Linked DNA regions of Arabidopsis thaliana. The protein of the gene in region 1 interacts with the protein of each later gene in a pairwise test. Each region holds a gene or a part of one and is shown in the gene's direction. Other genes may lie near its edges.

Evidence for each region.
Region 2: the proteins of UMAMIT11 (region 1) and GLR2.2 interact in a protein complementation assay, tested with the Arabidopsis thaliana proteins (one large-scale study listed by BioGRID).

The regions. Positions count from the first base shown.
Region 1 is NC_003071.7:17,062,234-17,078,826, reverse strand, and holds UMAMIT11 (nodulin MtN21 /EamA-like transporter family protein), read left to right. Parts: upstream 1-13,013; 5' UTR 13,014-13,312; coding exon 13,313-13,500; intron 13,501-13,594; coding exon 13,595-13,657; intron 13,658-13,743; coding exon 13,744-13,860; intron 13,861-14,059; coding exon 14,060-14,285; intron 14,286-14,646; coding exon 14,647-14,805; intron 14,806-14,901; coding exon 14,902-15,053; intron 15,054-15,151; coding exon 15,152-15,431; 3' UTR 15,432-15,729; downstream 15,730-16,593. Other genes in the region: UBP5 (ubiquitin-specific protease 5), read left to right, coding at 89-346, 428-576, 828-1,388, 1,613-1,886, 1,979-2,113; AT2G40925 (F-box and associated interaction domains-containing protein), read left to right, coding at 2,711-3,922; AT2G40920 (F-box and associated interaction domains-containing protein), read left to right, coding at 4,815-4,919, 5,036-6,241; AT2G40910 (F-box and associated interaction domains-containing protein), read left to right, coding at 7,273-7,377, 7,548-7,623, 7,721-8,889.
Region 2 is NC_003071.7:10,510,825-10,528,257, reverse strand, and holds GLR2.2 (glutamate receptor 2.2), read left to right. Parts: upstream 1-2,198; 5' UTR 2,199-2,417; coding exon 2,418-2,679; intron 2,680-2,798; coding exon 2,799-4,120; intron 4,121-4,209; coding exon 4,210-4,522; intron 4,523-4,609; coding exon 4,610-5,475; 3' UTR 5,476-5,710; downstream 5,711-17,433. Other genes in the region: GLR2.3 (glutamate receptor 2.3), read left to right, coding at 7,637-7,967, 8,700-10,024, 10,109-10,421, 10,517-10,923, 10,995-11,378; AT2G24700 (Transcriptional factor B3 family protein), read left to right, coding at 12,970-13,047, 13,123-13,402, 13,478-13,614, 13,709-13,976, 14,044-14,153, 14,242-14,506, 14,591-14,877, 14,967-15,209; AT2G24696 (transcriptional factor B3 family protein), read left to right, coding at 17,356-17,428. UniProt on the Arabidopsis thaliana protein: Glutamate-gated receptor that probably acts as a non-selective cation channel. May be involved in light-signal transduction and calcium homeostasis via the regulation of calcium influx into cells.

The DNA.
Region 1 (16,593 bases):
CCCAGGGTATATTGTTATTTTTTGTTTTGGTTTTAATTTTTAATACTGTGGGGAATCTCATTCTCCTACTCTGTTTGTCAACTCACAGGGCCAATATAAGTCAACATTGGTGTGTCCAATCTGCAACAAGGTTTCTGTAACGTTTGATCCCTTCATGTACCTGTCTTTGCCGCTGCAGTTCAACACAACACGAGCAATAACAGTCACAGTTTTTTCTTGTGATAAAACTGCCTTACCTTCCACTATCACAGTCAATGTTTCAAAGCAGGGACGTTGCAGAGACTTGATCCAGGCATTAACAAATGCTTGTTCCTTGAAGCAAAGTGAAGAGCTGAAACTTGCAGAGGTTTGTGGCTTCAAGTGCGTTTTTGAGTAAGATGTTGATCTTTTGGCTTCCGCTTATCTAAGTTTAATATGTTTTTCGCAGATTCGGAATAATTTTATCCATAGATTATTTGAAGACCCTTTAATTCCGTTGTCAAGTATCAAAGATGATGACCACCTTGCTGCATACAAACTTTCAAAGTCTTCGGAGAATACGACTTTGCTTAGACTAGTACTCCGCCGCAGAGATCAGTAAGTTAAATATCAGTCTAATTTGTATGAACTAATTCTGGGGATTAGTTTGAAACAACAAAGTCCTCTTCTGTACTCAACATCTTTGGATTTCCTTTCTTAAAACTTCAAGACTTTCTTTTCTTTAAGGCCTCACTTCTTCAGTCTTTGATTTCTGAATAATTTTTGAATCCTTGATTAATGCTGATCTGAGAAAGGTATCTTATATTCTGTTTGCTCTCTTCTTTATCTTTTCTTGTACCATGTTTTAGGAAAGCTGGGGAACGTGAAAGTACAGTACAATTGAAACCCTGTGGAACACCTCTTCTCTCATCAGCTTCATGCGGAGATGCACTCACCAAAGGAAAAATCCATTGCCTCGTCCAGAATATGCTTTCACCTTTTCGGAGGGAAGAATCTGTGGGCAAAAAAGGAAATTCTGATTCTAGCATCCCCGAGAGAAGGTCAGCTCGATTTAATAATACTGAGGAAGAAGATAAAGTTGGTGGACTGAAAAAAGCCAAGAAAAGCAACTCCTCCGACTTGGGTGCTTCTAAATTATCCCTGCAACTCATTGATGAAGACAACAAAACGATTAATCTGCCAGACAATGAAGCAGAAGCTATGAAATTACCGTCATCAGCTACTGTAACTATATATTTGGATTGGACACCAGAACTCTCTGGTATGTATGATATAACTTGCCTGGAGAGTTTGCCTGAAGTACTCAAATACGGACCTACTACCAAGAAGGCTCGTTCAGAACCTCTTTCTTTATATGCATGTTTGGAAGCGTTTCTACGCGAAGAGCCTTTGGTACCTGACGAAATGTGGTAAGCAGTCTTTTCTCCTTATCCTTCCTGTGAGACTCATTTTTTATGGTTTGTGGTAAAAGTTGAACTACGCATTACTACAAGATGATGAATGATGTTCAGAAATTGCTAGTGTCTACTACGGATGGAAGTTGAACACACTGTATTTTTGCAGTAGATTTTAGCCAGTATCTTCTACTTAGCTGACTAAATCAATCAATGGTATCATTTCTCTTTTTTTGAAGGTTCTGTCCACAATGCAATGAAAGAAGGCAGGCAAGCAAAAAGCTTGATCTGTGGAGGCTTCCTGAGGTCTTAGTCATACATCTAAAGAGATTCTCATACAGCAGGTCCATGAAGCATAAGTTGGAAACATTTGTTAACTTTCCCATTCATGACTTAGATCTAACAAAGTATGTAGCCAACAAAAACCTATCTCAACCTCAACTATATGAGCTCTATGCCTTGACCAACCATTATGGTGGTATGGGCAGCGGACACTACACTGCACATATCAAGGTCAGTTCGAACAACTAAACTTTTTCATTCTGTTTCCATTTCTGAGTTTCTTGCTTGTTTTTCTTATGTTTATTATCGAATATGGTCTGCAGCTTTTGGACGACAGTAGGTGGTATAACTTCGATGATAGCCATATATCACACATAAACGAAGATGATGTGAAGTCAGGTGCTGCATATGTGCTCTTCTACAGGAGGAAGTCTGATGCAGGCGGAAAAATGACATAAGTCTGCTCAAAACGACAATCTCCGAGGTAACAAATACCAAATTTAATTCTAAAAAGATTCTTAAAAGAAGTTTAGTTAGATCACTGAAACGTAGTTGTGGACTTGTGTTTACGCGTCTTGCAGGTTCCAGTAGTAATCTCTACACAGCTGTCTGCAACTTGGAACCCATAAGAGTGACAATTAGGTTTAGATCTATTGTAAATTAGTGGAGTTGGGTTCTGAGTAGTTTAATTAACAGAGATGAATATTGTCTCTCCTTCTCTGTCAGTTTCTGTATAGATTGTGTTTGGCATAATAGCAGTACTGTTATTGTCACTGACACATAATCACAAGACTCAGTCTAAATATGTAGTAGACAAGGTTTTTTATCTAGTTTGCCCAAAAACAAAAAGACAAGTTTCTTAATGGGCTTTGTTGAACGAATGGGCTTAAAAAATCAACGCTAGCCTCCTTGATATCTCCACCAACCGTGACCGGGAAACATGAAAGAACTTCCTCTTCCTAATTAGTAAGAACAAGAGTACTTAGGGTTTTGATATAAGTTTGTGGGTAGCGCTTTGTCAAAATCTATTGGGTTTGGTTTTTCGTCCAGCAGTCATGCAACGAGAGAGGAGTATGAAGAGGAAGAGAAGAAGAAGAGGAATCAAAGATATGTGCAATAGGCACGACTGCGAGATCCCTCCTGATCTCATGATAGAAATTCTTATAAGATTGCCAACAAAGTCCTTTATGAGGTTCAAGTGCGTCTCAAAGCAGTGGTCACCCCTTATCTCTGGTCGATATTTTTGCAACCGTTTATTTACTTGTGTAACACGACAACAACAACAACAACCACGTCTATACATGTGTTTAGTGGCCAAAGACAAGCAATGTGTTCTACTATCATCAACGTCACCGGACAACACTTGTTTTGTACTCGTCGACCAAGATTTGAGCATCCCAGGCTACTTCTTCGCCTCTGTTCCTGGCTTGCTGTGTTTCCAGTTCGGAACAAAGGCGTGTATCTATAACCCTAGCACCAAACAACTCTTGACCTTACCCTCCGTAAAATCCGACATCACAGCTCAACAAGGTCAACTGAAGACTACCCAATACTATATTGGACGCGATCCTGTTAATGATCAATACAAACTAGTCTGCACTATTCTGATATACTCGAAATTGTTTGCAAACATGAGCTCAGAGCATTGGGTCTTCACACTAGAACTTGGAGGTTCCTGGAAAAAAGTTGTTCCACTGGGAAATTATCATCCCCATGCTCCTGCCACAGCAGGACGGTCTATCGATGGAGTAGTACATTATCTAGCCTGGGTTGATTTGTACAAGTGTGCGGTTGTGAGTTTCAACATTAGGTCTGAAGAGGTTACTACCTTCCTATTACCTCGGAAAATCTGGGATGTGCCTGTGCCTGCACTGATGATGAAGGCGGATCTTATAGAGTATGATGGAAAATTAGCAATTTTCAGTCATAGCTACCTTAAAGACGAGGGTTTGGTAGAATTATGGGTATTGAAAGACGCTGCTGGGAAGAAGAAATGGTCCAATATGATCCTGGTTTTGCAGCCTTGCCAAAGGCATTTAGTCCATGGCATTGATTTGATCGTAAAAGGTACAACTCAAGACGGCAAGGTTATACTGTCACCCTTGGAGATGCGTTCTCAGTTCTACATTCTGTGTTATGATGTGCAAAACAATGATTTGAGAAAGGTTGAAATCACAGGAGTACCACGCCTTTGGTTGCATAAAGAATGCAATTTTGACTTGAAGTTTATGGATGAGAGTGAGAGCTTCATCTACTTGGAAATTTGACCAATACTTTTGACTTTTGTTTGTGTACCAGATAAGAATACAGTTAAGTTTTTTTTTTTTCTTCTGTCAAGATTAGTCTCCTACCCATAAATCCACCGAACCCTCGTTAACATTTATTATCAATCAAGAACACAAAAGAGAAGCACTCTACTAATTTGAGAAAGCGCTTTATGCTTATCTCGGTTTCATGAATGACAGTTGTTGTTTATATGGTCAAAGTTAAAAGGGTCTGCTTCATTCTTCACCATCTTTTGTAGAGACAACAAGATGATGCCTGCTCTAACAAACAAGCATGTGCCAAAAAATAATCATCTGTGCTCTTCTATACACACTAATCTTGTAAAACTCATCAAGGCTCAAAGCATAAATCGATGTGTCATTATTATCTGCAAATCCGAGCTTTGGCCAACTGCTTATAACAGAATGAACCAAACCAATTATAAATTGTGGTTTAGCATGTGATTATGTAAATAGAAATATGAAAAATCTTTTCTATATAAAAATGTAACTATTCTCATAAAATCTATTTAAAAATAAAAAAACGAATTTTATTTTGTTTTTCCTATTTTTTCGTCGAGAAAAACTTCATAAATAACGAGGCCTATATTGGCCCAACAATATTATATAACATGCTAACAAAATAAATAACAGCCCACGTAAAAGAGATAAGAAGGCCCATCGTGGCCCAACCGTAATATATATATATATATATATATATATATTCTTATCAACAAACTGTAATGCGTTGCTCTTCCAACTGCACAAATTCGAAACCCCTAATATCGTCGATTTCCGTATTCAAAATCCAAAAGCACACAAGAATAAGAGACCCCTTTGCTCTTTTGGTTGTAATTTTGGTTTTGAATAGAATTGAGCTGAAGAGTTAAAAGAGATGAAGAGAAGAAGGAAGGATCTGAAACAAGCGGCGGAGTCAGAGCAGGAGGAATGTCAGAGCATTGCCCAGGTCGTCTCTCTCGGAGATTCCGATCAAATTCAGGTATAAATACGCCAATTCGTAGCGATTATTTTCTTTGGCTTAAAGTTTGAATTTTGACTTGTGGTTTTCATGTTATAAGTTTAAACCGTTCTTATTTGCTACTATTTTTGGTCTAGCCGCCACCCAACAAGAAAGAAGAAGAAGATATATGTGAATACTTACTGCAGAATTTTGATCTTGATCATGTGATGGAAATTCTTATGAGATTTCCTTTAACCTCCCTGACGAGGTTCAAGTGCGTCTCTAAGCAGTGGTCATCCCTCATTTCTAGTCGATATTTTTGCAACCTTTTATATACTACGGTCACACGACAACAACCACGCCTATACATGTGTTTAAAGGATGACGGCGGGCACCGTGTACTGCTATCTATATCATCACCGTCTCGAGGCAACACTTCTTTCGTGGTGGTCGAGCAAGATTTGAGCATCCCAGGGATGGGAGGCTTCTTCTTGAACGTTGTTCGTGGCTTGATGTGTTTCTCTCGCAGAAAAAAGGCGCGTATCTATAACCCCAGCACCAAACAACTCTTGACCTTACCCGCCATAAAGTCCGACATTGTAGCTCAACAAGGTCAAACGAAGCATCATCCCCGGTATTACATCGGACACGACCCTGTTAGTGATCAATACAAACTAGTCTGCACGGTTGCGATATCCTCGCTATTGCCACGTTTGGGTAATCTGAAGTCAGAGCACTGGGTCTTCGCACTAGAAGCTGGAGGTTCGTGGAAAAAGGTTGTTCCACTGGAAAATTATCGTCATCATGCCCCTTCCACGGAAGGACGGTCTACCAGTGGATCAGTAGTGCGTTATATGGCCTGGCCTGATAATTATAATTGTGTGGTTGTGAGTTTCGACATTAGGTCTGAACAGTTGACTATCATCCCAGTACCTAGGGAGATCCACCTTGACGAGGTTGTGCCTGCAGTTACGATGATGGCGGATCTTATAGAGTATGGTGGGAAGATAGCAATTTTCTATCATACAAACCTTAAAGACGAGGGTTCCGCGGATTTATGGGTTTTGGAAGACACTGGGAAGAGTGAATGGTCGAAAAAGACTCTGGTTCTGCAGCCTTGTCAAAGGCATTTAGTCGAAGACATTGAATTGATCGTAAAAGGTACAACTCAAGACGGCAAGGTGATCTTGGCACCGGTGGAGATGCATTCTCGATTCTACATTCTGTATTACAACTTGCAAAGCAATGACTTGAGAAAGGTTGAAATCAAAGGAGTACCAGACTCTTGGTTTGATAAAGAATGCTATTTCGACTTGAATTCTATGGATAAGAGTGAGAGCTTCATCTACTTGGAAACTTGACCAAGACGGCAAGACGTTTGATTTCCTTTTTTTTTTTTTTTTTTTTTTCTGTTTGTTGTTTAAGAATACAACCGAGTTAAATGATATTTCTAGTTACTTGAATAAATTTTATCTTCATGCTCTTGATTTTATTGGTCTCCTGCTTAAATGCTTTTTTCAAGCAGTAGCATATTGAGGATAGAATCTTTTTTGTAGAAGTTTGGATTTTGGAATTAGCAGATTATTTTTAACGTTATCTCCATTCTCTTTCATTATCAGCACGATGTGTTCAGTCAGTTGTTTGGTATTGATAATGATCTCCATACTTCAAAACTCATTTTGTTAAAATAATGAATGAAGAAACTTTTTTCCATCAAGCAAAACACAAAAGAGAAGCAGACGTTGTTTTTGGACTTCATCCATTTTCTTAACCCAATCTCTCCCTGTAGTTGCTATAGTTTCTTCTGTCTTCTCAGCTTGTATTTGAAATGGGTACATCACGTCTGCTGATTCGAATTTAGCCTTGATAGTTAATGCTTATCTTGGTTTCATGAATGGCTGTTGTAAAAGGGACTGCTTTCATTTTTCACCATCTTTTGTTGAGACGAGAGACAACAAGATGATGTCAGTTCTAACAAACAAGCATGTGCCAACAATTAATCACTTATACACACTAATGTTGTAAAACTCATCAAGGCTCATAGCATAAATCGATGTGTCATTATTATCTGCAAATCCGAGCATAGAATGAACCAAACCAATTAAGGATAGTGGTAAATTAGCACGTGAACCAAGCGGTTAGCTTGTGAATTGTGATTATGTAAATATTAATTTATTACTTCCTTAATTTTCCTTTTTATTTTCCTTTTCCTTTTCTACCATTTATTATGTTACCTTTGTCTTTGGTCATAAAGATAAAGACTACACAAAGTAGGTCTCTCTTCCGACTGCGCAACTTCAAAGCCCTAATATCGATTTCTTTTGTTTGGTCGTAACTTTAGTATTAAAGTTTGGATTTTTTTGAATTAAATTTGAGCTGAAGAGTTAAAAAGATGAAGAGAAGGAGGAGGGATCTGAAACAAGCGGCGGAGTCAGAGCAGGAGGAATGTCAGAGCGTTCCCCAGGTCGTCTCTCTCAGAGATTCCGATCAACTTCAGGTATAAATACGCTTCCTTTATGCAATCTCCCTAATTCGTAGTTTTTCCTTGGGATCAATGGCTTGGCTTAGTTTGTTGTATTTATGTACTGCATGAAAGTTTGAATTTTTACTTCCCTTTTCATGTTATTGTTTTGAGTTTCCAATTGCTGTTTTGTTGTCTCTTTGAAGATAATGGATGAAAAAGGAGACAACTCATTAGCATTGCTTCCCGCCAAACTTCCTATGCGCATGTGTAGCACACGAGGTACTTTTCTTGCTTAACAAGGTTGCTTGATTCTTCTCTCAAACTTGTACAAATCTCTCTTATTTGCTGTTTTTTTTTTTTTTTTTTGGTGTAAAAGAGAGAAGAAAATACACGTGCGAGATTCCTCCGGATCTCTTGATGGAAATTGTTATGAGATTGCCAGCAAAGTCCATGGTGAGGTTCAAATGCATCTCCAAGCAGTGGTCATCTCTCATCTCTTGTCGATATTTTTGCAACAGTTTATTTACTTCTGTCACACGAAAAAAACAACCACATATACACATGTGTTTAGTGGATCACGGCGGGCAACGTGTGCTGCTATCATTATCATCAACGTCTCCAGACAACACTTGTTATGTGGTCGACCAAGATTTGAGCCTCACAGGAATGGGAGGCTTCTTCTTGAATCTTGTCCGTGGCTTGTTGTGTTTCTCAGTTAGAGAAAAGGCATGTATCTATAACCCCACCACTAGACAGCGCTTGACCTTACCCGCAATAAAATCCGACATCATAGCTCTAAAAGATGAAAGGAAGGATATCCGGTATTATATCGGGCACGATCCTGTTAATGATCAGTACAAACTAGTCTGCACGATTGGGATATCCTCTGCATTTTTCACAAATCTAAAGTCAGAGCATTGGGTCTTTGTTCTAGAAGCTGGAGGTTCGTGGAGAAAGGTTCGTACGCTGGAGAGTTACCATCCTCATGCTCCTTCCACAGTAGGACAGTTTATCAATGGATCGGTAGTATATTATATGGCTTGGCTTGATATGGACACTTGTGCTGTTGTGAGTTTCGACATTACGTCTGAAGAGTTGACTACCATCATAGTAACTCTAGAGGCCGGGGATGTGGCTCTGCCTGCAGGTAGGATGAAGGCGGGTCTTATACAGTATCATGGGGAAATAGCTGTTTTCGATCACACCCATCTCAAAGAAAAGTTTCTGGTGGATTTATGGGTATTGAAAGACGCTGGGATGAAGAAGTGGTCGAAGAAGAGGCTGGTTTTACAGCCTTGTCAAAAGCATTTAGTCCATGATGACATTGAACTGGTCGTAAAAGGTACAACTCAAGATGGCAAGGTTATCTTGGCACCGGTAAACATGTGTTCTCAATTATATATTTTGTGTTACGATATGGGAAGCAATGACCTAAGAAAGGTTGAAATCAAAGGAGTACCAGACATTTGGTTTGATAAGGAGTGCTATTTCGACTTGAAGTACTCTCTGGATGAGAGTGAGGACGTCATCTACTTGGAAACTTGACCATTGACTTTGTTTTTCTAGCTGTTTAAACAACTGAGTTAAAAATAAATTTGAACTTTGTCAGAGAGTTAATTTAATTTTTAAAATTTGCAAAGGAATGTTTCTCAGAACGAGCTTAAATTAGTCTCTTTACTTAAATGTTTTGCTACAAGCAGTCACATAACATCTCAAGAACAATAGAATCTTTCTGTGAAAGCTTGTGATCAAAATAGGTTGTTTGGTGTTGTGAAGAGAGATTAGTCCCTTGAACTCGTGATCGTTTATTTTATCAATCATGAACACAAAAGAGAAGGAGTATATTTTTGGACAGATGCACATGCAAGACCTTTTAATACATCCAAAATCAAACAATGTTAACATCTTATGTTCACTAATATATATGATCTTTTCTAGCTACAAGCATGTCTCTCGGTTAGCACAATTAATTTGTTAGGTCTGTCATAATTGTCTGTTGTTGGTGTGAGGCTTAAACTAATTAGTTTAAACAGAGACAGAGACTCAAAAACAACTCATGATCTGATCAATATCTCTGATATATTATAGACACGTCACCACAGTTATAAGAGACTGGAGTCCAATAAGATTACCAAATTGCTCAAAATACCATTTTCATCAAAGAAATAATAAGAAAAAAAGGAAAAAGATGAAACAAAAGAAAAAAAGACATGAACTTTGGGTAGGCCCAAAAGTTTGAGTGTGGAAATGAAGTTGCGGGAGGGTGATTAGATGACCATTTTGATTTGTTGCCCTCTTTTTTTCCCATTTCTCTTTACTACCCAAATACGCACCCACACTTTTGACCCACACCCACTTTCTCTATTTTTCTTTCTCAAATTTCTTATCAAATCATGCGTTTTTCTTTTTTTTTGAATATTTTTTCATAAAAAAACCCACCCCTTAAACATTTAGAATCTTGAGTATAATTTATGTCGGCTATTTATGTCTATACACATATAGACACACAAGTTTATATCATATTTTATAGTCCGAACATTTTAAAGTAAAAATATTAAGCTAGATCTCTTAAAAATTAAAATACTCAAATTCAGGTTAATATGTATTAGGAGATCTAGCTAAATATCTATATGTATGACAACCAATTATTACACTATAAATTTATCTAAAAATTTATAGCCAAACATGTATTGTTTGGTTAAATTTCATAGTTTGTACCAAAATACAATCTATAAGAGTATAATGTAGCAACTTAAATGTTTAAATGTGCACCTACAGAGAAAAAAAATACTATTATAAATTGGTTATACGTAATTGTTTTATTAATGATCATATAGTTTTGTTTCCTGCGATGATCATATAAAAGTTAAGATAGGAAATAATAGATTTGATCATCTAAAAAAAGTGGATAGAAAAATATGTGGAGATAATCAGGCATCGTGGTTTATTGGTAAAGGAAACTCGACTGAGGCGCCCATCATCCGGGTTTGATTCCTGGCCATTAAGAAATTAACATGCGTACTTGCTCTAGTGTCTCAGACCATTAGTTCCAGCGGATTTTTATGTGGAGGTTTAAAAATCCCTAATCGCGGGTTTAGGCCCAGTAAGATAATAAGATTACTGTGTGGTCTGGATATTTAGTTATAAAAAAAAAAAAAAAAAAAAAAATGTGGAGACAGACGTCCGACACCGTGCATGGTTCAGCTCGTCACATTGATTCTATAGTTTGGTAAAAATATATGAATCATATTGAAAACTCAAAGTTATTTAATTAGAGTTACGAATGATTTTTACGTGACAAATCAAAAGTCAGATACATATGCCAGATTTTGTCAGAAGGATTTTGTGTAAGCATATAATTCCCAATCGCAGAGACGTAAAATATTCGATTCGTTAACTAAATCGTAAGGAGTTGACACTTGTCTCCGACAGCGGCCAGAGTCGATTTACGTGGAATCCACACATCCGCACTTGCATGACACAAACTGCACCTTTTCATCTGTTTTTTTTTTTTTTTAATTTGAAAGTTTTACACCCAATGGTGCTAATTTTAGTAGCCACATACATAACTATAATATTAAAATGTGCAAGAGATCATTACATAATTGGAACGAAATTTTGATCATGAAACATATGGTTTACACTAATACACGAATAGAAATCCTATTATGATGAGTTCATGCATGATACAGTGGTTGGTATACTTCACTATAAATTTATATGATCTTGAACTCGAATATAACATAGAATGATCATATATATATATATATATATATATATATATGAAGACATTCCAATATTGTTACTATTGTTAAATAATCAACATCATATCATTTGTACAACACTAGTCAGTTGGTTCAATCATAATACTTCTAAAGTACTTATGTTTTTATACATGCAGACGAGTGAGCGTGAGACATTTCCTCTATTTGGATAAGTATATTGAATTATTAATTATTAACATAATGGATAGTTTAAATTTCAAAAAAATAACAAAAAAAATAATGATGGATAGACTAGAACCTCCAATTAAAACAATGCAAATCAAGATGTTGAACCGATCGAACCATCAAACTTTTTCGGATTGCATAATAAAATAATTCGTCTTTGTTCTCATTCTCACCGTGCATATACATATCAACAAAGTCATGCGACCTAATATAATACAGTTGAATCTATCTAATTTTTTTAAAAAAAATTAAGATACGAATTCCACACAAACCTTCTCCAACTAAGTAAAGTAGCCACTATTGTCACTTAAAGTGACATTAATGCATATTCTATAAAAGATAATGGATGCCCAACTAAACATAAGTGAAGTATTTGGGATATATAATAAAACAAAAGAATCCAATGAGTTATGCTATGTGGTTAGCTTTTGTTCACGAATTTATATATTGTATAATATATGAGGTTTACATTTCGGATAAGCAATTCTAGGCAGATCGATGATATGTACGCAAACATGTATAGATGTATTCAAGAATTGAGTATATAATTGCTTATCCGAAATGTAAACAACAGGTATGAACATATATAATTAAGTGCCCAAAACAGAACATATATTCAAGATTTTCTTGTACTAATAATATTCTTTTTTTTGGTAAGGTGTTCTAATAATATTCTGATTAGATTAACTTTTAACCATATATAACTCATAATTATTTTGTTACGTAACTCTAAAAATATCTGGGGTTTTATTTCTTTGTGAAGAGATCGATAACAGACAAGACATGTAACACATATTTTGTCCACCTTAAATTTCTAAACATGAAATGTAGTTTTGAGATATTGGCCGGTCCCAATGTACGTAGGATTGAACCCAATTGATTATTGCTGCCACGTGGAACTCAATCTGTCCACTTATGCTTCTTCATTGATTTAACCTCTTATTAAAGATCGATGATTTATGACCATGAATGTAGTAATTAGGATAGAGGTGGACATACGTCAGATTCCACACGTATATAACCCCATATTAGCATTACAATGAGTTAATCTTTTTGCAGAGGTCGGTCGATTTGTCAAATTTCTACTATACATTAACCAAAAGATATTCTACTATATATTAAATAAAGCAATTAGCTTATGATGGTGATGAGTCATGAGACCACATATATCGAAAACCACGGTAGACTAACAATCGCAACAATTTTTCTGTGGCTTTCAAGTTTCTTTTAATCTTTTAACAATACGCTAATCCGATCCGGCTAATTTTAGTTCAGTTTGGATTTTGTGATTTTATAGACAAGTCCACAGTTTAAAAAAAAAAAAAACCATGTTTAAAGCCAATTGCATGAATAAAATAATTTACATGCATGTTAGAATTACGTTTTAGTGTCCATATGTACTTATTAGTTTTTTTGTTTTTTTTGCAACTACAACATATACTAATGTTGTTGTTTTTTGTGCAACTAAAACATATACTACTATAAACATGTAAATTTTGATTGTTAAGAAATGAGGTGATGTTAATTAATCACTTGTTCCACACTGATCACACTTTTAACCTCGACTTTTAGTAGCCACAAGTTTTATTTAAAATCCTAATATGATTGGTTTCACGAAGTCATATAAACAGAATATATATATGTAGAATGTTTTATCCACTTACTTTAGAGATAATGAATTCATGACACCCAATTCTTATGCCGAATCAAACCGGAATAATTAACGCTAACGTCACCGAAAAAAAATAAAATAAAAATAACAAAAATACAAAGGAAGAAATCAGAGAACACTGAACATATCCGAATAATATGCTATATATACAAAGAACCTCTCACCACTTGGTTCTCAGGAAAAAGCACATTCTCCAAGTGTTTCTCTCCTCTCTTTTCCTAACTCAGTTTTCTTATATACATAACACTAATTTGACAATTTTTTTGTCCTCGAGGATCCTAAAATAACTCCAAAACTTTGATTGGTTTTTCTTGCTCTAAAACAAAAACAAAAACAAAATATTAAGATGGGATTAAGGATGTCAGAATCAGCTAAACCTTATTTTGCAATGGTCTGTCTTCAGTTCGGATACGCAGGTATGAACTTAGTAACTAAAACCGTCCTAGACCGCGGTATGAGCCATTACGTTCTTGTTGCATACCGCAACGCTTTTGCCACAGCCGCTATCGCACCCTTCGCTCTTCTCTCCGAAAGGTACATATTTCTTCTAAAGAAATCGATTCTCGCAAGACTTAGATTTTTTTTTTTTTTTGGTAGTAATAATTATGTATTGGGGATTTTTTTGTAGGAAAGTGAGATCAAAGATGACGTTTCCAATATTCATGCGAATATTTCTTCTTGCTCTTCTCGGGTTAGTCTTCTAACAGAACCGTTGATATCAAGAAGATTTTGTAATAATTACGATTAAGGCTAACATGGAAGGTTTAATTTGAACAGGCCGGTGATTGATCAGAACTTATACTATATCGGTCTAAAACTCACATCACCAACGTTTTCCTCCGCCGTTAGCAACATCGTGCCTGCAATTACCATTATCCTTGCCACACTTTTCAGGTAACATACAAAAAGCAACTTTTTTATTATTTACATTTATTCATTTAACCAAAGAAAAAGATACGTTTTATTATATTTTGGTACGTGGATATGCACCAATTCAAAAGTAGATGTATAGTAGTACAATTAGTGTATGACGATCGATGTCATAAATTATGAATATTGATGTGTGTGTTTTATGTAAATATTTGTTTTAAAGGATGGAGAAAGTGGAGATGAGAAAAGTAAGATGCCTGGTAAAAGTGATGGGGACGTTAGTGACAGTGGTTGGATCCATATTGATGATATTCTACAAAGGTCCTTTCATTAATTTCTTCCGGTCTCACCTCACGGCCGCCTCTTCGCCGCCGACGGCTGACTATCTTAAGGCTGCCGTCTTCCTACTCCTCGCTTCCCTCTCATGGGCGTCGTTCTTTGTTCTTCAGGTATGTATCAATTATATATTGATCCTGTGTATAATATAACTCACTTCTTACATCACTAAAAAACGTATAATATAGTTTTTAGGATTAGTTTTAAATTTCCATCAACATAGGAAAATATAGTTTATGCACCAAACCATGTAGGGGATACGTAAAAGTAATATAAAAAATTTGAAATTTTAGATATAGTATTAATAATGTTACTGGGATGTTGTTTCTAATTTTTCATGTTATATAATTTTTAAAAAAATAATTGGGTTAACTATATCTAAAATAATAATATGATTGGAATTTTTTTTCACTGTTTTCGTAATATATAAAAATATAGATTTAACGAATTAGGCTTTTATATTTTGTTAAATAGGCTGCGACTTTGAAGAAATACTCAGCCCATCTCTCAATGTCAACAATGGTGTGTTTCATGGGAACGTTACAGTCTTTAGCCCTAGCCTTCGTAATGGAACACAATCCTTCTGCTTTGAACATCGGTTTTGACATGAACCTTCTCGCTTCTGCCTACGCGGTTCGTCCTTTATTTCATCATGCCACTTTCACAAATAACAAAAAGATCAGTTTACAAAAATATTGATACTAACATTGTGATTGGTAACGGTTACAGGGAATAATGTCGTCGAGCATAGCTTACTACGTTCAAGGACTTATGATGCAGCGAAAAGGACCGGTCTTTGTCACTGCTTTTAACCCTCTTATCGTTGTCATTGTCTCCATCATGAGCTTCTTCGTTCTCGGTCAAGGAATCTACCTTGGAGGGTACGTTAACAACAACCGGTTAATTATGATATATTCCCGGTTTAGTCTTGGCTCTGTCTTGTTAATTAATCAAACCGAAATTTGTTTTCTTTTTTCAGGGTTATTGGAGTGGTTGTTTTGATGGTGGGAGTCTACGCCGTGTTATGGGGCAAACATGTAGATGATGACGGCGAAGAAACACGCCATGAAGATAACGTTGTAGCCGTTAAGTGTTGTAGTGGCAATAATGGTCTAACGATAATGCCGAAAATCGACGAAGCTGATGAGGAGGATGTTGAAACCGGAAAGGCTACGTCGGAGAAGGAGTCGTCAGTTCCGGAAGTGGTGGTGGTAGTTTTTTGTAGTGAAAATGTGCATAGCGTTTCACGACCTAACTAGATGGGTTTTCAATTTTTTTTTTACTTTTTGTTAGAAGCAAAATTGGGGAGAAGAGTAACTTCTTTTTTTGATACTTGTAAGTTTGAATTCCTTTTCCCGTGCTTCAAAAGTTTTATATTTTATTTATAGTTTTGATTTCTTATTGTAACTAAGGGATTCGATTTTGATCGTTGACTAGCTATACAATCCCGTGTAATCACTACATTTGGTATTGGTACGCATCTGTTACATACCATTTTTACGGCGGTTTTAGTGAACTATATTATAAAAAAAAATCGTAAGTTTTTTTGTGTGTGTGTTAACAATGTACTCACTACTCACTGTTCCATATTTTTGATGTACGTATATCGAAAACATTCTGCCAACAAATGCAAACATAACAAAAGTCAAAAACAATAACATAACCGGGAATTAAACCAAAATGTAATTGCTTTTTATTAGTGTCAGGCCTTCTGCTTAAAAATATTCTCGGCCCAGAGCCCATTAACACCTATCTCAATTCATATTGAAGAAAATGACTATATTACTTGACAAAAACTTTAGTCAGAAAAATATGGAATCTCTTTCGGTACTGCTAAGTGCTAACCTTAAATAGTATAGAATTCTTAGTTCATTCTCAAAAACATAGCTATATGTAGATTATAAAAGTTCGATATTATTTCCTGCAAAAGATGTTATAATGTTACAACTTACAAGAAAATGATGTATATGTAGATTTTATAAACTGGTACCGTAATTCATAAAAGATGGTGGTGGGTATGTATCAGTAACGGAACTTACATATGCGTGTGTATTACTATGTCTATATGGTGTATTCCTTTGTGTGGAACAATGCACGTCAGAGTTGTTTATTTTCTTATAGAATTTAAGGAATCAATTATTGGATTTCTCAAGGTGAAAGTGGACTTCTTTGCACGCAAGGTCTAGTTGCCGACTTGCCGTTGCATGTAACATGATTGTTGAAATAAAGTGAATTGAGAGAAGTTTGGCCAGACATTTTAAATTTAACCCAAAAAAAGTAGGGCCTAACACAAAATATAACCTCTCTTTGTTCAAAGGAAATAACACCTACGTCTTATAATTGAACCAAACATTGAATCATTGAACTCACCTATAATAATTATAATAACACGAATTCACAAGACACCTAAAAGAAAAAGTT
Region 2 (17,433 bases), 6.5 Mb from region 1:
TACAAGAACAAGATTTGCTAACAGATATAGGAAACAGAGAATCGAATCACAAAGAATATCTAATTTGGTACCAAAAGGGGGAAGAAGATTATGTACCTAAACTTTGAATTACAAGTTTAGAACCCTAATAGCTGCAGAGAACAGAAGTGTCGAAATCGTCGTCCTCTCCGTCACTTCTTTGTCAAAACGGAAATGATAGAAGAGAACAAAATATTTTTCTTGCCTCAAGCATGGAATCTGGTCGAGATGGAGATCTATTGGGCTTCATTTTGTATTGGGCTTTTAATAAAGTATGGAGGGTAACTCTCATGTCATTTTCTATTGGGCTTTTAATAAATTATCCAATTGTGTAATACTGAAGTATTAAAATAAAAAAATGGGAAAAATGTAGAAACAATTGCAAAATATCAAATTTGGGACGGAATTAACATAAACTTTCGAAATATCATTTAAATTCCAAAGTTTGGTTTGACTTAATAATAAAATGGTTAAGTTTTGTTGACTAAATCATTTTAGACAATGCTGAAACATTTTTGCTAACTAAAAGATGAGAGAGATAACTTTCCGAAAAATGTTCTGGTCAACGACACTTAACTATTTTAGTAGAAAATCAAACCAAATTTTGGGTTTTTGATGACAGATCGAAAGTTCATGCTTTTTCCGTCCCGAATTTGAAAATTCGCGATTTTTAAAACATTTTTCCCAACCAAAAATGTATTCACTCTTTCAAAATATAAGATTTTTAATTTTATTCCATAAAATAACATTAATATTTTATTTTTGTTGTATGTATATTTTGACTATTTTTAAAATTTAGATTGTGATTTCAATCTTATTGTCCTAAAACTATTCCCCAATTAATCCATGTACAATCTCTTATTTTTTTGCTATGCGCTATTCATCATGTTTTATGTTTTGAGAACCTTTGAATTTTCTTTTGCTTTGATTCTCTCGGGGTGAAAAGGATCCAACTCTAAAATTACTAACTTAGATGTTTTTCTTGACCTCGACTCGGCTCTCTTTTGTTTTCTTTATATAAGCTAATTTTTGTATATTTTCGGAAAATAACTCATAATACAACAGTGTGAATGATAATTCCTTTTAAGACCCTACAACATGAAAACACACAATTCTTACCATATTTTCTTATTATCTTGATTTCCACCCACATCTAGAAATATTATTAATGAGCTAATTACAATTTTTTTGGGATTAGATCTGGTCTAGGTAAAATGAATGCTGATTTGGCTAGGATTATTAATTCTGATGAGGTTCAGAGTGTGGTTAGACCGATTGAGAAAGATGTGAAGAGTGCTGTGTTGAAGAAGAATCCTCTTAAGAATTTGAATGTGATGTTGAAGCTTAACCCTTATGCTAAGACTGTGAGGAGGATGTCTTTGTTGGCTGAAGCTCAGAGAGTTAAGTCGAAAAAGGAGAAGCTCGAGAGGAAGAGGAAACCCATTTCAAAGATATTTGAATTCTTTCTATGATTGAATCATCTTTAGTGGAACTATCTGATCAACAATTATTTGCCTTCTTTTGTTGATAATGGGTTTCGTAGGGATTGTTTAGACTTGATGAGTTTAGAAATTAGAATCTTTGATCTGGCTTGCGTGAGTGATATTATTCTTCTTAATCTCATTGTTTATTGTAGGAGAAGGCAATGAAGATCAAAGCAGCAGGAAAAGCATGGTACCAGACTATGATATCAGATAGTGAGACTACACTGACTTTGATAACTTCACAAAGTGGCTCGGTGTCGAACAGTAAAATCTGCAACCCTTAGACGATGTTTTATTTTTTTTATTTATTTTGTTTCTTGAGATCAAAGTCACAAGATTTGCTGCTTCATCAGTCGACGTTTTACCAAGATTATTTTCATTTTAAATTCAATTAATTGCCCAGTCTTAGATTACTTCCAACATAACTCTACCACTGAAATTTAATTGCTGACTTTCATAGATATGAAAGGTCATTCTTTTAGTTGCTCAACACAAGTTAACTATTCTTGCAATAAGAAAATAAAAAGTAAACTGTATAAACACAATAAAGTATGTTTTTAGTTTACTTTCAATCAACTTGAATTCTATATATTGTTTTAACTTTTCGTCATATGTCCTACGTCATACGTATAACATTATTTTCTTACAATATATCTAAGTCATCTCCTACAAATATCACGAAACCCCTTGATACAGAAAAATATTTGTTTTAGAAATTGCTGCGAACTTTGAAATGTATTGGCTTCTATCTTTATATGTTGTTTCACTGCTTACTAGGATGAGATATTAAAAGATTCAACAACTATCCAAAACTTTGGTATATATATATATATGTGTGTGTGAAGACTGCAAACACAAACCAATAAGCAAGCTTCTATCAATTATCACCTAAAATAAAAAGAGAAAAATCCCCAAATGAAAAATTCAAAGCTTTTCTTCCGCTTCTTGTTCTTGTTCTTCTTCTTCTGTTTGGAAAGCAGCAGAGGACAGGACAACGGCAAAACCCAAGTCAACATCGGTGTTGTATCAGATGTCGGTACTTCATACCCGGATGTTGCCATGCTCTGCATCAATATGTCTCTTGCCGATTTCTACTCTTCTCGTCCCCAGTTTCAGACAAGGCTTGTCGTCAACGTTGGTGACTCCAAAAATGACGTTGTAGGTGCCGCAACTGCAGGTACCTTCTTTTCTCGTTTCGCTTTCTCTCTATACATGTATGTTAATGTTACTATATGTAAACTATGTTCACGTTTGACATACTCAACCCGAATTTTCTTGGTTTTGACATTGTCATAGCTATTGATCTGATAAAGAACAAGCAAGTGAAAGCTATTTTGGGGCCATGGACATCTATGCAAGCTCATTTCTTGATCGAGATTGGCCAAAAATCTCGGGTTCCTGTTGTTTCCTATTCTGCAACAAGCCCATCTCTTACTTCTCTCCGCAGTCCATACTTCTTCCGAGCTACATATGAGGACTCCTCTCAAGTGCATGCTATAAAAGCTATTATCAAGTTGTTTGGGTGGAGAGAAGTTGTGCCAGTTTACATCGACAACACTTTTGGAGAAGGTATAATGCCTCGTCTCACTGATTCATTACAAGATATTAATGTTCGGATACCTTATAGATCCGTTATCCCTCTCAATGCCACGGATCAAGATATCTCTGTGGAGCTTCTTAAGATGATGAACATGCCCACAAGAGTGTTCATTGTCCACATGTCCTCTTCTCTAGCCTCAACAGTCTTCATTAAAGCAAAGGAGCTTGGTTTGATGAAACCAGGATATGTCTGGATCCTTACAAATGGAGTTATGGATGGCTTACGGTCGATAAATGAGACGGGTATTGAGGCTATGGAGGGGGTATTGGGTATTAAAACTTATATTCCAAAATCCAAAGATCTAGAAACGTTTAGATCACGTTGGAAGAGGAGATTCCCACAGATGGAGCTGAATGTCTATGGATTGTGGGCTTATGATGCGACCACTGCACTGGCCATGGCCATTGAAGATGCGGGAATAAATAACATGACTTTCAGTAATGTGGATACGGGGAAGAATGTTTCTGAACTTGATGGTCTTGGTTTATCACAATTTGGTCCAAAGCTTCTCCAGACGGTCTCAACAGTTCAGTTCAAAGGTCTTGCAGGAGACTTCCATTTTGTCAGCGGGCAACTGCAACCATCGGTGTTTGAGATTGTCAATATGATTGGAACCGGAGAAAGGTCAATAGGATTTTGGACGGAAGGAAATGGTCTTGTGAAGAAACTTGACCAAGAACCTCGAAGCATAGGTACTTTATCCACTTGGCCAGATCATCTTAAACATATAATATGGCCTGGAGAGGCCGTTTCTGTTCCGAAAGGATGGGAGATCCCGACTAATGGGAAGAAGTTGCGCATTGGAGTTCCCAAGAGAATCGGTTTCACTGATCTCGTGAAGGTCACAAGGGATCCTATCACCAATTCAACGGTAGTCAAAGGTTTTTGCATAGATTTTTTTGAGGCTGTGATTCAAGCAATGCCTTATGACGTCTCTTATGAGTTCTTTCCTTTTGAAAAACCCAACGGTGAACCAGCCGGTAATCACAACGACTTGGTCCACCAAGTGTACCTCGGGGTGAGTACGATCACACAGTAATCATCCCTCAAAAATAGCATTAGCAAAACCATTTTAGTGAATTACTTTTGTTTTCTTTTCCATCTAAGCAATTTGATGCCGTGGTCGGAGATACAACCATACTGGCGAACAGGTCCTCTTTTGTTGACTTTACACTCCCATTCATGAAATCAGGTGTGGGATTGATCGTCCCATTGAAAGATGAAGTGAAAAGAGACAAATTCAGCTTCTTGAAACCTTTGTCAATCGAACTATGGTTGACAACCTTAGTCTTTTTCTTCCTAGTTGGAATTAGTGTATGGACTCTTGAACATAGGGTCAATTCGGACTTCCGTGGACCAGCTAATTACCAAGCTAGTACCATCTTCTGGTTTGCCTTCTCTACCATGGTTTTTGCTCCAAGTACATTCAATCTCCACCTTTTACATGTCATCTTATATATGTTTATATTACTTTGTTTGATTCTTACTCTTGAGTTGCTGTCAGCAGGAGAAAGAGTGCTTAGCTTCGGGGCAAGGTCCCTTGTTGTCACATGGTACTTCGTCCTTCTCGTGTTAACTCAGAGTTACACAGCCAGTTTGGCGTCGCTTTTGACATCACAACAACTAAATCCAACCATAACCAGCATGAGTAGCTTGCTTCATAGAGGAGAAACAGTGGGTTATCAGAGAACATCCTTCATCCTTGGAAAGCTTAACGAAACAGGTTTCCCACAATCTAGCCTTGTGCCCTTTGATACCGCAGAAGAATGCGATGAGCTTCTGAAAAAAGGACCAAAAAATGGTGGTGTGGCTGCAGCTTTCTTGGGAACACCTTACGTGAGACTCTTTCTTGGACAATATTGCAACACTTATAAAATGGTTGAAGAACCCTTCAATGTTGATGGATTCGGCTTTGTGTTTCCAATCGGATCACCTCTGGTGGCCGATGTTTCAAGGGCCATCTTAAAAGTAGCAGAGTCTCCAAAGGCAGTGGAGCTCGAGCACGCTTGGTTCAAGAAGAAAGAACAAAGTTGTCCTGATCCAGTTACCAATCCAGATTCAAATCCAACTGTTACCGCTATACAGCTCGGCGTAGGCAGTTTCTGGTTTTTGTTTCTTGTTGTGTTTGTTGTCTGCGTTCTAGCACTCGGAAAATTCACATTCTGTTTCCTATGGAAGACAAAAGGGAAAGATTTGTGGAAAGAGTTTCTAAAACGAGACACCGACTCGTACATCAACGACATAGAGAAATGCTTGTGTTCTCAAGAGATGCCTGAAAACAGCAATAAAGCAACAAACCAGACAAACTACGGTATGGAGTTAAGAGTTAGGAATATCGTGCAAGTAAACCAAACAGACCCAGACTGTCTTTAATTTAAAAAAACATAGAAGGGCGTCTGTTTTTATTAAACCAAACTATTGTACTTTATTGTGTAAATAACGATTTTCAGAAATAGGTGATCCATATAATGTATAAGAGACTATCAAGTTACTATAGTGGTTGATTTTCGTTACGTGTTATGCAAGACAGTAAACCTAAGGCTATGGGTTCTTACATGTGGGGAAAATGGTATTTTCATACTTGTACTATATGCTGAGTATATTTTTCAACCTGAACTATAAAAAAATTTGAATTACATATCCAAACTTAGTATTTGGTGTTAATTTCAGAATCATAATTAATGGGTTGTATTTGGTGTTTGTTGAACGAAGAAGCGCCTGTTGAAGATGTTGTAAACCCACCCGCTGATGATATTCATCAAGACCCAAGGGAACAACTATAATGTTTGAATGTCTCAAGACTCTTTAATTTAACTAACAAAGAGGCGTGTGTTTTTATCAAACAAAACTACTGTAGTGTTTTCTTTTTCATTTGTTCGAAAACTAATGTTGTTTATTTAGTTATTTTTAAAATCAATTTTTCGTAAACGATGAAAGCAACAATTTTCATGTAAGGACTATCCACATTCTTATATATCAGGAGGTTGATTATGTTACTTGTTCCCCCAAGACAGTAAACCTAGGGCTAGGATTTCTCGCATTTTCTAAAGATTTATAGTAAGCATATTGACTTATCTTCGATATAGAGTACAAAAAATATTAACCTAAACAAAAAATGTGGTGCGTTTTTATACACCAACAAAAGTTTTAAATAATTTCCATAAATTTCCAGGCTTTAGCCGGAATCAACATTGATCACAATAATGTTACTCAACAACTGTTAGTTTATGTTGAGTAAGATGACATGTGTGGAATTTCAATTGAGTCGGATGCCATATGTCTCGTTTGTGCTGAGTTGGATGTCACCTATCACAATAAAAAGAATTGAGAGAAAATTATTTGTCTTAGTTCAAATGCTTTTCTGCAAAAACGAATTGTTATCTTTTACAACTTTAACCTCAAGTTTCAGAAAATACATACAATTAATTTTGCAAAAGTCGAAACTAAGACACAATATAACTATTATCTTCGAACTGTTTTTTCAATCACATATAAATATACAATAGATTAATAACATTCTTTTTTCTTTCAACAAACACTATTTATATTAACTTATCGGGAAGAAATTCTCCGCTAGAAAGAGTCATTCAGGAACTGATGTGCATACATGGGAGAAAATATTATTTCGAGCCCGAGTTTTTTTAGCTAAACAATCTGCTCGAGTATTAAAAGTACGAGGAAGATATCTATAATTAATAACATTCTAAGAGTTGATTTGAACTCTGAGGGCGAGGGTTTTGAAATGGTCATTGATATTCTCCTTAGTCCTTGCGTATTGAGGAAGAGGCATTGAAAATCAAATCAGCACGAAAAGCGTGGTCCAGACTATGATATCAGATAGTGACTACATTGAGTTTGATAACTGCACAAAGTGGCTCGGTGTCGAACTGTAAAAGCTGTTGACATGTTCTTTGTTTTACTTTTCTTTTCCTCTGTTTCTGAGATCAATCAAAGTCACAAGATTTTTTACTTCGTTTTTGTTACTTAATCAGTCAACGTTTTATTACACTCCTGATTGTGTTTTACCATGATTATTTTCATGTTAAATTTATTAATTGCCCAGTCTTTGGATTACTTCTAAGTCCTAACATAACTCTCCGACTGAATAATAATTTATTGCTCGACTTTCATAGAAATGAAAATGTCATAACTTTAGATACACAATACAAGTAAACTATAGTTGCAATAAGAAAATTACAAGTAAATTGTAGAAAGATAATAAAGTTTATTTTTCTGTTACTTTCAATCAAGCTGTACTGTATTTTATGTTTATTTTTTTGTGTCAAGTGTATACAAAACATTATTTTCTTGCAATATATAATGCTAAGTCCTTTCCTACAAAACACGAAACCTTCTTTATTTTTGATTAAACTACATGCACACGATGGCACAAAACCATCTAAATACAGAAATATCTGTATTAAACATTGCCGCGAACTTTGAAATCGTATTTGCTTCTTATCTTCACAATGTTTCATTGCTTATTAGGATGAGATATTAAAAAATTCAGCAACTATCTAAAATTTTGCTATATATGTGTGCATTATTTAAACCAATAAGCATCATCTATCACTTATCACCTAAAAGAAGAAAGAAAAATCTCCAAATGAGGACCGAAAAGCTTTTCTTCTGCATCTTGCTCGTCTTCTTCTTCTGTTTGGAATTCAACAGAGGACAGAACAACGGCAAAACCCTAGTCGATGTCGGTGTTGTAACAGATGTCGATACTTCACACTCGAAGGTTGTCATGCTCTGCATCAACATGTCTATTAGTGATTTCTACTCTTCCAATCCCCAGTTTGAGACAAGGCTTGTTGTCAACGTAGGTGACTCCAAAAGTGACGTTGTAGGTGCCGCGATTGCAGGTTTTTTAACTTCTCCTCTCCAGCCTCTTGCTTTCTCATATATATATATATAATATAATATATATTTTATTTGGATCAGGACTGGTTCGGATCCTGTACAAATTTAAAAATTGGCCTTTGTCAATACTATTTTTTTGTTTTAAATAACCATATATCTATATATATGTTAAAAAGAAATTGATATATAAAAATTTGGGCCCTTTTAACAACATAATTACAAAAACAAAAACATAATTATATATAAGAAAAGCATTTGGACCCTTAAATTTGCCCAAATAAAGTTTTGGACATAAGAACATTTGTTTCATAATGTAATACACCGACCCTGGTTAGGATACATAATGTAATATATCTTATGAACTCTCATGATTATTTTACTATACATATAATTAATGGTAAAATATATAGTATATTTGTAAATAGATGTAAATAAAATGACAGTTATTTTCAGAAGACAAGAATTGTGAAACTTTTTTTTATTGGATTTGACAAGAATTATAGTGATGATTATTTTGCAAATGTGTAAAAAATGATTACTTTGCAAAACTTTTGGTGATTGGCAATCCCATTGAACATTCCTAGTATAATAAATACTACAATATAATTAGAGTTAATTAGAATATATAAATAATTATTTTCTCCAACTAAAAATGTTTCTACTTACTTCCAAAGATAGTTTTACTTCAAACAAAATAAATATGATTTTTTTTAATGTTTTTGGCATTGTCACAGCTCTTGACCTGATAAAGAACAAACAAGTGAAGGCTATTTTGGGGCCATGGACATCTATGCAAGCTCACTTCCTGATCGAGATTGGCCAAAAGTCCCGGGTTCCTATTGTTTCCTATTCTGCAACAAGCCCAATTCTTACTTCCCTTCGTAGTCCATACTTCTTACGTGCTACGTACGAAGACTCCTTTCAAGTTCAACCAATAAAAGCCATCATCAAATTGTTCGGATGGAGAGAAGTTGTGCCAGTTTACATTGACAACACCTTTGGTGAAGGTATAATGCCTCGTCTTACCGATGCTTTACAAGATATTAATGTCCGGATACCTTATAGATCCGTTATCGCTATCAATGCCACTGATCATGAAATCTCCGTGGAGCTTCTTAAGATGATGAACATGCCCACAAGAGTGTTCCTTGTCCACATGTACTATGATCTTGCCTCAAGATTCTTCATTAAAGCAAAAGAGCTTGGTTTGATGGAACCAGGATATGTCTGGATCCTTACCAATGGAGTTATCGATGACTTAAGTTTGATAAATGAGACGGCTGTTGAGGCTATGGAGGGGGTATTGGGTATTAAAACTTATATTCCAAAATCCCCAGATCTTGAGAAGTTTAGATCTCGATGGAGAAGTTTATTCCCACGGGTGGAGCTGAGTGTCTATGGTCTGTGGGCTTATGATGCTACCACCGCACTAGCGGTAGCCATTGAAGAAGCTGGAACAAATAACATGACTTTCAGTAAAGTGGTGGATACAGGGAGGAATGTTTCTGAACTTGAAGCTCTTGGTTTATCTCAGTTCGGTCCAAAGCTTCTCCAAACACTCTTAACAGTTCAGTTCAGAGGACTTGCAGGAGAGTTTCGTTTTTTCCGCGGGCAACTGCAACCATCGGTGTTTGAGATTGTCAATATAATCAATACCGGAGAAAAATCAATAGGATTTTGGAAGGAGGGAAATGGTCTTGTGAAGAAACTTGATCAGCAAGCAAGTAGCATAAGCGCTTTATCTACTTGGAAAGATCATCTTAAACACATTGTATGGCCTGGAGAGGCGGATTCTGTTCCGAAAGGATGGCAGATCCCGACTAAGGGGAAGAAGTTGCGTATTGGAGTTCCCAAAAGAACCGGCTACACTGATCTTGTGAAAGTCACAAGGGATCCTATTACCAATTCAACTGTAGTCACAGGTTTTTGCATAGATTTCTTTGAGGCTGTGATTCGAGAACTGCCTTATGACGTCTCATATGAGTTCATACCTTTCGAAAAACCCGACGGAAAAACAGCCGGTAATTACAACGACTTGGTCTACCAAGTGTACCTCGGGGTGAGTATGAGCACATACTAATCATTCATCAATATAGCATTTATAACTATACTAAGTGAACTCTTATTTGCTTCTCTGTCACAGAGATATGATGCGGTTGTGGGAGATACAACCATATTGGTGAACAGGTCTTCTTACGTCGACTTCACATTCCCATTTATTAAATCAGGTGTCGGATTGATCGTTGAAATGACAGACCCAGTAAAGAGAGACTATATACTTTTCATGAAACCTTTGTCATGGAAACTATGGTTGACTTCCTTTATCTCTTTCTTCCTTGTCGGTTGTACTGTATGGGTTCTCGAATATAAGCGTAATCCGGACTTTAGTGGACCGCCTAGATTCCAAGCTAGTACCATCTGTTGGTTTGCCTTCTCTACCATGGTTTTTGCTCCAAGTACATTTAATCTCCCCTCTCTACATGTCAGCATATATATGTTCCTATATATCATGCACCTTGCTTGATTCTTATTCTCGATTCCCTGTCTGCAGGAGAAAGAGTATTTAGCTTTTGGGCGAGGGCCCTGGTTATCGCATGGTACTTTCTCGTTCTCGTGTTAACCCAGAGTTACACAGCGAGTTTGGCATCGCTTTTGACATCACAGAAATTAAATCCAACAATAACCAGCATGAGTAGTTTGCTTGAAAAAGGAGAAACAGTGGGTTATCAGCGAACATCCTTCATCCTTGGAAAGCTTAAAGAAAGAGGTTTCCCGCAATCTAGCCTTGTGCCCTTTGATACTGCAGAAGAATGTGATGAGCTTCTAAGTAAAGGACCAAAAAAAGGTGGTGTCTCTGGAGCTTTCTTGGAAATACCTTACTTGAGACTCTTTCTTGGACAGTTTTGCAACACATACAAAATGGTTGAAGAACCCTTCAATGTTGATGGATTCGGCTTTGTAAGTTCCTATATCAAAACTTATGTGAAAATTGCATTAAATGGTGAGAGATCATAAGTCCTTTTTCGCAGGTTTTTCCAATCGGATCACCTCTAGTGGCCGATGTTTCAAGGGCCATCTTAAAAGTAGCAGAGTCTCCAAAGGCAATGGAGCTCGAGCGTGCATGGTTCAAGAAGAAAGAACAAAGCTGTCCTGATCCAATTACTAATCCAGATCCAAATCCCTCTTTCACCTCTAGGCAGCTTGACATAGACAGTTTCTTGTTTCTGTTTGTTGGCGTGTTACTTGTGTGTGTTATGGCACTCGGAAATTTCACATATTGTTTCCTAGCGAAAGACCAGGTTTCGTACCTCGATAAGGTAGAGATGAGTCCGTGTTCATCAAGTCAACAAATGCCTGTCAAGAGGAAGACACAATTAAATATGTCTCAAGTTCATGACCAAGACAGTCTTTAATTTAACAAAAAAACATATGCTATTATTATACCAAACTATTGTACTTTTTTTTTCTTTTGAATGAAGAATTGTACTTTATTTTGTAAATAAGGATTTTCAGAAACAAATGACCCATTTAAGAGAGACTATCAAAGTTACAATAGAGGTAGATTTTATTACGTGTTATGCAAGACATTAAACCTAATGCTATAAATTCTTATGTGCTAACGACTAGTAGCATATTAACTTATCTGGAATTAGGGTTATACTTTTTCTTTTTTGGGTTATACTTATATGCAGTTAATATAATCTAAAGAAATTTTCACGTTTATGCTGAAAAAAAGATGTGGTCTCAGCGCAAAGTGAGATGTGGATTTCATAGTTTGACAATTAAGACATTTTAACATAGAAGTAGAAAATAGAAAGAATAAATATTAGAAACGAAAATAATTTGGATAATTGTAGTAATAGTGTTAGTTTAACCACTTTTTAATATACTTAAATGCATTCAAATGCAAATCTATTATTGTAGTAGGACAAAACCAAGTACAGGTGAATAACTGGATATATTGGTTTATTAAGATACAATTGTGTTTGTCCTGCTCTGCTTTATATCCGTAACTCCTCTGTTCTTCCATTCAGACCCAATACATATTGGTTTTCACTGGAAAAGGAGACAATAGATGGAACTGTTCACAAACAAAAGAAAAGATGGATATTTTGGTGCGTTGCGCTTTGTACTTTGTAGTGATTAGTTTGGATTTTTTCTTTTTTTGCTTTGTGGGGAATAAAGAGATAGCCTAGATGCACGTGATACGTATTCCTACAGTGCTACTGAATACTGATGTACAAATAGTTCCCTCTCGTGATTTTTGTTTGTGGTTTCAAGAGAAATGTTGCTTACATTGAAGATTGAACACACTATTATTTTAAGCCTTTTTTGCGTGTACTTAAAATATTCTTTTACATTGTTAAAAATACAAAACGTTTTTCAGTTTTACAATAAACTCACTTTTTGAAAAATATAAACGTAAATGCAAACAAAGAATCGAATTCTTATTCTTTTTGACAAAAACGAATCCACAACGTAACTAACTAATTTACTGTCAAAACCATATGATATTTTGATAGCAAACATGAATGTTTTCACTTCCTAAGATTTAATTTCTTGTAAACTATTTTTACATTATTATGGTACCTACGTGTTGAATTAAGCATATTTAGTTTCAGATCTTTTTCTTCTTCTTTTTTTCTTTCTTTTGGTTAAAGACCAATGTCTTCTCAAGATTTATTTTTCTCGTTCATTGATATTTGCTAAGTTTATTTGATGAATATTTTCCATAACCAATCAGAGTCTTTATGTTCAATCCCAACACTATTCTCAGTCAAAACTTGTTTTTTTCGAAAACAATATATAGTCTTTGGAAAAAGCTGATAAAGGTCTTTTTTAACATTGCTTTATAGAAAAAGCTGAGAAAGTTTCTTTGACGTTTTGTATAGAAAGCTGAGAAAGGTTATTTTTTTACATTACAGAAGTAAGGGATACAAAGTTGTTAGTTCATCTTCTCTCCGCTCAGAAGAAGAAAAACTTAAAAAAATTCAACGTCTGAATATGGCTAATCCACTTCTCTATTCTCCGATCAACCCACAATTCTTCCAACCACTTCTTCCCGGTTTCACCAACCACCTGGTACTCTGTTTCTCTATACTCTCTCCGACCAGTTAAGTTACTTCTGTTTGTAACTCATCTAGCATGCTGTTTCAGGACATTCCTGTGGCGTTCTTCTTGAAGTACTTAGTGGGAACTAACGTAGGAAAAACGGCTGAGCTCAGATCAGATGCATCGGAGATGACATGGAAAGTGAAGATAGACGGCCGGAGACTCTCTAATGGTTGGGAAGATTTCACAATCGCACATGATCTCCGAGTTGGTGACATTGTTGTTTTCAGACAAGAAGGAGAGTTAGTGTTCCATGTCACAGCTTTAGGACCAAGTTGCTGTGAGATTCAATACGGAGAAGATACCCTTGAAGAGGATAAAATTGGTAACCTTAGTTTCATATTAAATATCATTAGCACATTTAGAATGAGTCTAAGAATATTACTTAATCTATCAACAGAGAAACTTTGTGGTACGGAGAATGTTTCAAGTAAGAAAAAGAGTCTAAAGAGAGAAGCTGAGTCTGCACCAGACAATTCACTAGATTCTTGTTTTGTGGCCACTGTCACGGGTTCGAATCTAAAGCGCGATACATTGGTATGTTACTTCCATATTACTCATTACAGTAATTTTTATGTTATTGTATATTCTTGATAACTCTATCTAACTTGGCTTGTGGCGGCATTTGCAGTATATTCCGAAAGAGTTTGCATTGTCAAATGGTCTGATGAACAAATATCAGATTGTGTTAATGAATGAAGAAGGAGAATCATGGAAGATAGACTTGAGACGCGAGGCATATAATTACGGCCGGTTTTACATGAGAAGAGGCTGGAGAAGTTTCTGTATTGCTAATGGGAAGAAACCTGGAGACGTTTTTGCATTCAAATTGGTCAAAAATGAAGAAACACCTATGATACAGTTGTTCCCTATGACCATTGAAGATTTAGACAAACTTCGTAAGTTAATTTTCATAATCCGTTGGTTATTGAGAAAAATCTCAATCAGATTCTATAATTGATACAGAGAGTCTTCCAAGACACAAGATTCGAAAAACAGAAGCAGCTCCTTCTTCACCGGACCTTTCTTCTTTTGTAGCCACTGTCACGGCTTCAAATCTAAGCCGAGATAGACTGGTTATGATACTCCTGACTTACATATATTGATTTTGATTTGACTGAGAGGTGTTTTAATGATATTCATGGTGACTGTACTTGACTGCAGTATCTTCCGAAGACGTTCATTATGTCAAATGGTTTGTTGAAGAAATTTCAGATGTGTCTAATGAATGAAGAGGGAGAATCATGGACGATAGATGTGAAACATGAGGCACATACAGGCCGGTTTTTAACGATAAGAGGTTGGAGAAGATTCTGTGTGGCTAATGGGAAGAAACCAGGAGACTTGCTCAAATTCAAATTAGTCCATAACGAAGAAACACCTGTGCTCCAGTTGTTACCCTTGAACAGTGAAGATCTACACAAACTTAGTAAGTTGTTTATGCTTTATTCTTTCAAGAAACAAAAATATTGAAATAAAATTGAATAACAAGAAGCACTTTCTTCCTCTGCAGATCCTAGCAATGACACAAGGCATGGACAGAGTTTAAAAGTTACCAAAAAAGAGTTTCTTGGCATGGAAGCCACAGAAAATGAGTTTCTTGGGGAAGAAGTTTACTGTAATGACTCCTTTAAAGCTAGCGAGAAAGATACTCTTCCTTTTGCTGAACCTATCAATGAAGATATAAGGCAAGGACAATGTTCACAAACTATTAAACAAGAATATGTTTCCACAGAAGAGAAAAACTCAACAAGCCAAAACCGATTTGTGACCTTAACACTTACACATTCAAGTAAACTTGTAAGTTTCACAAGAAAACTCTGTTTTTTTCTTGTTTTTTTTTTTCCACTTAATACTCTCGATATATAATCTGATGATGGTATCTACAGAATCTTCCGTTTGAATTCATGAAGCGGAATGGAATCAAAAAGGCGGGGAAGATAACGATGGTTGATAGATACGATGCAAAATGGCGTACTTCACTACTGATGGACAAGATCGGAACAATGAGTTTAGGAAGAGGTTCAAAAGGTTTCTGCGAGGTTAATGGTGTTGAGATGAATGAGTCGTTTATCTTGGAGTTGATTTGGGAAGACACAGTTCCTCTTCTTAAGTTTTGTTCCAAAGTTTGAGAACAATATTAAGAATGTCTAGGATCATCGCTCAAATAAACTTCTTTCCTTCTATGGTTTAATTTTCATGTTAAAAAATGCCGTTTAAATCATCATTAATTCAGATAATATTGGTTTACTAAACAAGAATCGTTAAAGATTTTATATAATTATTTTTGGGGGTCACTAAACATCTTGATTGTCGACACCAATCATAAACTTCATACTTCAGTATGTAGTAGAGATAGACTTCTAATTAAAGGGCTATCTGCTATACATGTAGCAAAAAATCAAAATTAACATCTTATACTGTATATCTTTTTTTATCATCATATATTTTTATCTTTATATTTTACTTTAAATGATGTGAAAATCATAGATAAAATATAGGAAAATGTAACTTATATTAAAGTGAAGAGTCATTTATATTAAAGTGAAGAGGAAGAAAACAGAAACAAGTTGTAAGATATTAAGCCATATATTGCAGAAACAAAAAATGGACAAAAATCCTTACTTATTTTACTATCAAATGATTTGATATTTCTTTGTATTTTGTTTAATGTGAAGAAAATCAAGGGAAAATCTCTCTCATTTATAGTAAAGTGAAGAGGAAAAAAACAGAAACAAATTGTAAGATATTATATCATAAATTGCAGACACAAAAATCCTTAATTATATTATTATCAAATGATTTGATCTTTCTTTGTATTTTATTTAATGTGAAGAAAATAAAGGGAAAATATAGGGAAAATCTCTCACATTTATAGTAAAGTGAAGAGGAAAAAAACAGAAACAAATTATAAGATATTATACCATAAACTGCCGACACAAAAACCGACAAAAATCCTTAATTATTTTATTATCAAATGATTTTATTTTATTTTAATGTGAAGAAAATAAAGATAAAATATAGGGAAAATATCTCTTGTTTTTCATATTAGAAAAATATATTTTAGAAATATGATGTAATGATATAAAAGAAAATCTAACAATAATGTATCATATATATATGGTATATTTCGGTTTGAAAAAATAACACATGTATAAAGAAAATTTTAATTTTCCGGGAAAATAGAGAAGAACGAGAAAGAGAGAAAGTTTGTTAAGCACTTTGCTCTCATACCATATTATTCATAATCAGAAAGTAAATTCTCATAATCGAATCATAATATTACAACTAGTATTTATAATACATGTGTATATAGCATTTTACTAAGCTAAAGGAGACTTAGTGTATTTCTATATACTTAGATGCTAATTTGAGAGGTCATGTTGTGGATTTTCATAGATTCTCATTAGATGAACCCTCAAAACTATTGTATAACATAACTATAATCGATGTAGAAAAAACAGAATCTATGACATACCACGAGAAGACCTACTTAAAAAAAATAAACGTTGAATGGAAAACTAATAAAAACTAGCTAGACCAATCTAAATTAAATTACAAACCCATATTTTATCTGACTTAACTTCTTAGCTTGTTAAAAACATTGTACGGGGGAACTTATCTAGTAAAAAAGAGTATTATCCATTAAATTAACTTCCTAAGAATAAAACCTTGACCATACCAAATTAAACTACAAACCCATGTCAACGATTATTATCCATCAAATTAACTTCTTAAGAATAAAAAGTTTTCTAAAAAACTCTTAGAAGCAAAAAAAACAAAAAAAAATAAATTTTACAAATCCAATAGCTTATCCGATTCAGCTTTTCAACCAATCTAAAAAGATATTAGTTTTGCGCGGGAGCTTAACCACTTAACAATAATCCGTCAATTTGGTTGAAATATTAATTTCTCTCATAAATAACCGTTAACAAATCATCTCATAAATTAAAGTTACATCTAGTAAAGAAAGGTGAATTTTAGAAGCCCCATAAAACAAAAAATTTAAAAAGTATAAGCAAAACCAAGGTTGGTCAAATTCCTTAACAAAATCATCAACTAGATTTAACTCATAATTATTTAGTCTACGTACGCGCCCATGTTTAAAAATTTCCCAAAAGTGCATGCTCTCTAAAAGGTAAAAGAAGATTCTTATCTGAACATTAGGTTTTTTTTCTTTGTTGGGTCTAAAATCATTTCGGACATTACACAGTTTCATCTCCGTCTCTTTTTCTCTCCGACCAGAATATCAAAATTAATTCTTCTCCACTGACAACGATGCTGTTCAACGTCAGCGCCTGTGACATCCGTGACAAACCCATGCCCAGCAACAATGATATCAACAAGATCGGTACG